Linked DNA regions of Xenopus tropicalis. The protein of the gene in region 1 interacts with the protein of each later gene in a pairwise test. Links are inferred from orthologs where the notes say so. Each region holds a gene or a part of one and is shown in the gene's direction. Other genes may lie near its edges.

Region 1 (2,761 bases):
TCAACTCCCCAAACATCAACCAACATGGTGCATCAGCAGAAGACATTTCCAAATGGAACTGATCATCTGTGATCAGACGGCTGGATAGTATGGTCAAACTGCCGACCATATCATATCTGGCCATGTGTTCTGACCATTTAACCAAATGTTCTTTCACCATTGTCATTGTTCTTATGTGCAATCAATTGTTCACAATACTTTAACCTTCAGAGGCCTCAGTCGCTGAGATTTTGAGGTAAGAAAGCTAAATCTGGACATAAACAGCCTGGCATTGACTGCTGACTTATTGGTTGTGTATGGCACCAACATTCCAACCTCCCTGATCAATACCTGATGAGACTGTGGATGTGGCCCTCCTCTGATCTGTACAGGGCTACTATGTATTCATATAAAAATAGCCCACTCCCTCCACTCTGAGTTGCCATCACTGCATGGTCCTTTCTTTACGTCTCAAGCCCAGGGCAACTACCACTATTGGCCACTCCTAAGGATAGCTCTGCAACTAAGCCAGAGTGAGTTGAAAATATACATTTTGTGATATTGTGCAATATTTGTAGATATCTAAACCATGAGAAATACAACATTATTCCAAAACTGTTTGCAAACCATTACGTTAACAGAAAAAGTAGAATCCATGGTGCTAACATAAACATACTATTATGCCAGCACCACAGATTCTACATTTGTACACTTTGGTCTATGCTTCATTGTGTGGTCTGGCAACCTGTAGCGCTGCACAATAAAAGCAGCTTGTCACTGAAAGGGTTAATGCAACAACATGGATATATTACCATATCTTTTAACCAAATATGTTTTTCTCTTGTCTGCCACGGCACATTCTCTCCTTAAAATCCAAGCTGTATGAGCAGAGCGGCCACTTCCTGCTAGAACTGAACTACCTGCTTGAGCTGAAGAATGTGTGGGAAAGGCAGTGGGGCAGGTTGGGCAGAGCCGTGCAACTGTACACAGGGAAGGAGGCCAAGGAACCAGACAGTGAGGAGCTCCCTGCTACTGAATGGTATATCTTTGGAATATGTGCCTGCTGCATAAAGGCCAACCTCACTTTATGGTTCTTGTGTTCAGCAAACATCACATGTTCCCCCATTTTGGCGCTATCTGAGCCTCCAGATATAAATAGAAATGTATTTTCTTTACACAGACATAACTTATTCCCCAGATTGAAAGGACGCCAAGATAGTCTGTCTCTGCTTGCAGGGATGAGTTTCCCACCCCCAACCATGACCTTAAGTCTCTCTGCTTTCCAGAGAATCTGTGCACCTCCCATTATTAAAAGCAGAGAGACTTCAAGAGACCCAGAAACCATCACTTCCCAGTGGAACACGGGGGGAGAGGTTGCCTTACACAGTCAGGCTAAGCCATGTGGAGAAATGGTTTTTTAGAGTATCATGGTTATGGGTTAGTAAAGTCTTTGCATGTATGGCAGCCTTGATTCTTTTATTGTGTATTTAGAAAGGTTAAGGGTGAAGACAGACATAGTTACTAGTAGCAGCTACTTGTCACGGCTACTTAAATAGACAGTAGTGATCATTTACTGATAATTGTCTTTAGGTGAGTTTTAGCAGAGGCAATTCTCAGTATAGTCTATGGCAGGATATTTTCTGGCATTTAGGGCAAACACACACGGGGTGATTAGTCGTCGTGACTAATCGCAGCAACTTTTCTGCCATAGAATAGTAGTCGCTGCAAGTAAACGCTCGCGAGTTTTCACTATGCAGATTAGTCACTGCTACTTGACTAATCACCCCGTGTGTCTTCGCCCCTAGTAGCTGTGAAAAAAAATGTAATTCTAAGTAAATATCCATTAATGAAAAATGATCAGTGGCTTTAAAGTTATGTGTAAGATTTTGAATTAAATTTTCTTTTGCTGTGCACTGTTTTTGTGTGCCTTTATTCTGTGGTACTCACCTATTGCCTCACATCTCCTGTTCAGGTTATGCACTGATACTCTGCACACTTCCATAGTGCCCTGCATACAACTGCAGAACAAGAGCTCACTATGGCTAACCCTGATCCTTCTTGGCACACTGATGTTTTGCCCAGCGTGGGCAGGGGAGCACATCTGGACTGTACTGAAAGCAGAGATATGGCCTCATCTAGACTTGCACTACCATTCTCCACCACCGGTTTGAAAGAGGTGCCAACACCACACAGCTACTAGCCAATGATAAAGAAGAGAGCAAAAGCAGCATTTTATCTTTATATTTCTGTTATTTTAACATCTTAGTTATCTTTATCTTCCATTGTTCTTATATTGTTGCACTTGTGTCTGATCTCTGGTAGGAGTTTTACAATAGTGACTGACACAATAAGAGACTAATGTGCTAATGAGCTAGGGGAAGTGGGACGAGAGCTAATTAATCCTTTGGGAGGGATGCAGCATTTGGCTATGGTTCTTATGGCAGGGGGTTGTGGGAGAATGTGATGGTAAAGAACTCAGTAGCATTCACACACTGCCACAGGCTGCACCCTCTCAGCCGGACAAGGTAGTTTAGCCAAATAAATGCCTTAATAAAACACCTTAAAGTGACAGTACCCCCCCCCCCTTTGTTCCGCTGGTATGCAATGAATAGGGCTTGTGCTAAGCATACTTTTATCTATTGTTTTAATCAGGAAACATTTTTTTTTCTTTTTATTTCTTGAGCTAAACAGGGAAACTGAAATGACTCCATGTTTGGTCCTTGCAAAGTACATCATTAGATTCCCAATGCACAGATAAGAGCCGTGGTAGATGGGGAGATTA
Region 2 (3,572 bases), on another chromosome or scaffold:
CATTTATTGGCTTAAATAAATACAACAAAAACTAACATATAAATCATACCAAAAAGGACAGGGGTATCCCAGTGCCTAATGCTACCCACTCTCCTAACGCGTTTCGCACCGTGTGGCGCTTCATCAGAGGAGGTCTGTGTATGCCATACTCTGCCTGCCCTATGCTGCCTGTGAGAGGTGAACCTGGCAGGGGTTTGTTCTGGGAGTTTGTTAGTAGTTGGAAACAGCCATTAAATGGTCCCTAAGGTGTGTAATTATGTTGCTGGGGGTTGCTGTGCTATCCACAGGGGAGGAGGAGGCATATGGATTTAAGGGTGTGTCTTAATATGACATAATATAATTCTTTCACATATGAATAACTGTTGATATCCCCGCAGTGAGGACCAAGCATTTGGGTTTTTGGTGCACTACCACCATTGTGATAAAATGGGTGTGGTTTGAAGTAGGTGTGGTTCAAAAAAAGGGGAGTGGCCAAAACTGGCTTCCATTAGCGGCCCTCCACCGTGTATGCTAAAGAAATTCCGGCCCTCGGCACCGCAGAAGTTGGACAGCACTGGTATAAACTTTGACTAACTAGCATTATCTTCCCTTTATGTTTCACACCAGATTCACTGGTGTGCTGTGTGCACTGGCCTCAAAATTTGTGTGAGCATGGAAAAGTGTAAGAGGGCATCATGGCCAGTACTTTCTGCTAAACGGGATTCAGTTTTCTACTTAATTTAGCTACATAGTTTCATACTTAAGTTCTATGCAGGAATTTTTGGAGATAGAGGAGGAGAAAGAAAAGTATAACTAGAACATTATTTTATTAAAAACAGTTTAAGAAAAATCCTTCCAGTTTTTAAGTGAAGTGCGTGGGGCATAGGTTTCAATTATATATATATATATATATATATATATATAGCATGTTGCAAGAAGACAGGCACTCACGTATAAGTAGGTCCAAGGGAGCCTGGGTGCAGTCCCAAAATAATAGATGGAGTAGCTGTAGAGAGAGTCCGCACTCACAGGTCTTAAGAAAATATAGAAGTTTTATTCAAATCAACATTATTCAAATCAGTATATATATATATATATATATATATATATATATATATATATACAGTATATATACATGGATGAAGAGATGGTTGTAAGCTCTTTTGGGCAGGGCCCTCTTCACCTCTTGTATCGGTTATTGATTGCTTTATATGTTACTCTGTATGTCCAATGTATGTAACCCACTTATTGTACAGCGCTGCGGAATATGTTGGCGCTTTATAAATAAATGTAATGTAATGTAATGGTTAGACAATACCTGTTTTTTGTTTAAATAAACATGTCTTAGGAATGGCATCTTTACCTTTTTGTTTTTGGTTTTTTTTTTAGCACCAGTATCTTCTAAGAAATTGCTGTATTGAGTATGGATATGGGTAATCAACATGCTTCAGTCACAGCTCTTCAAGAAATACAGAAGAAGGTCAAAGAGATTGAACAACAAGTGGTGACATTTAGTGGTCTAAAGAGTGACCCAACTTATAAAAAGCTTGAAAAAGATTTAACTAAACAGTTATTTGAAATAGAATCTATTGAGACAGAGGGAAAAGGAAACATTCTACAAGCCCAAAAGAAAGCTACTGAAGAGACAGAAAGAGTTTTAAAGGAACTGGAGCAGAATGCAACCCATCCTTGCAGACTTGAGATCGAAAAGATCTTTAGTGAAACTCAGAGTTTGGTAGCGCTACATACTACACAATTTAGTGGGGAAGGTCAGAGAACAGATGAATTTGAGGAAGGAATTCAGAATATTTTGAAAAGACTTACTCAAGTAAAAACCGAGGGAAAGATCCCTCTAAGAAAAGCTAGGTACCGAACTTTAACTAAAGTTCTTGCCATTCAAGAAATTTTAGAAAGCTCTTCTAAACAACAAGTACTTTCTCTCCCTCTCTCTGCTGAGGCACATCCAACAGTTTCTAAAATTAACTCAATTATGTGTGATGTGAACAAAGCCAGATGCAGTCTCATAGCTCTTCTAGCTGGCGTCAATGACAATGAAACATACAGGCATTTATCTTGCACTCTTACTGGATTAATTGCAAACCTGGATGCTCTGGATGTTTCTGGCCACACAGACATAAGAGAGTATCGCAAAGAAGTTGTTAAGGAAATCAACAGTTTGCTGAAATATTTGGATTTAGAGGATGAAGCTGAGTTGGGAAGTGCTTATGACTTGGGCCAAAACCAGTCAATTGTAAAAATAGAAGAGATTCGCAAAGAAGCAGCAAAAATAAAGAACAGTCTTTTAGAAGTGCAGCAGCATATGTCTGACATCTATATGGGTACAAAGTCAGAGCTGCAGGGCCTCATAGCTAGCTTGGATGAAGTTAGTGTAGGGAGGAATCCTTGCATTCGTGAAGCTAGAAGACGAGCTGTAGTTGAGGTCCAAACTGTCATCACCTACATTGATCTAAAAGAAGCTCTCGAAAAGCGCCAGAGTTTACCAGAACACACAGTCTCAGAGCCTCCATGTTATATAGCTGTATGGACTGTCTTTGGACATTTATCTGAACTTCAAAAGGAAGTCCTCTTCTTTGATGGGAAGAGAGCTGATAAAAATTATATGAGATTAGAAGAATTTATTACTAAACAATTGCTGGCTCTTGATGCCATTGATTCACAGGATGGCCGTACAAAGGCTGCAAGAAAACAAGCTGTGAAGCTTGCAAATAATATCCTTGGATATCTTGATATGAAAACTGATGAATGGGAATACTAAAAAAAACACTGCTTTCGCTTTGCTTGCACTTTAAATATGGCTGTAAAGATGTCTCAGTTTCATCCTTGCATTATCATTGCAAGATAGGGTTTTTACTAAGCCAATTATCTGTCATAAAACAAAGCTTCAGTCAAAAGCTAGCCAGTTTTTGTTTTCATGTACCAATGGCGAAAAATTATAGAATGTTTAATGCTAAATATCCCAGTTTGACTTTATCAAGTGGAACAATAAGTGGCATATTTCTAGTTGTATCTCTCTTCTCATTTTTGTGCTGATTCTTAAATAAAAGTTCTGTCTTTTTTGATGGGGGTACAACATTGTCATTGTTATGTACACAAGTGAATAGTATGTACATTTTTAATTATATTGTTCAGTGTAAAAAGGCTGCTGCGTTTAAGGTATCTAATTACAAAATAGACATTGCAGCACATGCAGAATTAAAAGATGTAGTTCAGCTTGATTTCTGTTAATTCCTATGGGATTTTTAGAAGTGTGTTTATCAAATGATGAACTCTAACTTTTACCCAGTAATAAACAGAAATTAAGGGTGAATGTGGGTTTTCATGTATTAAGCTCTAAACTCATTTTTTAATAAATCAGCACCATTGTGTCATTATATATTTAGAGAATGTGCTTCACAAACCAAAATGTGCATCTCGTAATTCTGTACAGACAGCGAAAACATTCTTAAAGCATAGCACATGCTATTCAAAATGGGCAAAAAATTCAAATTGAATAAGGTTTTTTTTTAAAAAAAGATATACAAAAATTCACATTTTATCGCATTAAATCTTGCACAAGCTCTTGGCCAAAAAAA

Evidence for each region.
Region 2: the proteins of ccdc155l (region 1) and bag5 interact in binary tests that used the Homo sapiens proteins (3 or more experiments, as listed by UniProt). The two-hybrid records come from large-scale screens. The link is inferred for Xenopus tropicalis from reciprocal best matches to the Homo sapiens genes KASH5 and BAG5.

The regions. Positions count from the first base shown.
Region 1 is NC_030683.2:112,424,166-112,426,926, forward strand, and holds the end of ccdc155l (lymphoid-restricted membrane protein), read left to right. Parts: intron 1-857; coding exon 858-1,018; intron 1,019-1,951; coding exon 1,952-2,150; 3' UTR 2,151-2,259; downstream 2,260-2,761. UniProt on the Homo sapiens protein: As a component of the LINC (LInker of Nucleoskeleton and Cytoskeleton) complex, involved in the connection between the nuclear lamina and the cytoskeleton.
Region 2 is NC_030684.2:98,469,434-98,473,005, reverse strand, and holds bag5 (BAG family molecular chaperone regulator 5), read left to right. Parts: upstream 1-1,368; 5' UTR 1,369-1,402; coding exon 1,403-2,755; 3' UTR 2,756-3,057; downstream 3,058-3,572. UniProt on the Homo sapiens protein: Co-chaperone for HSP/HSP70 proteins. It functions as a nucleotide-exchange factor promoting the release of ADP from HSP70, thereby activating HSP70-mediated protein refolding.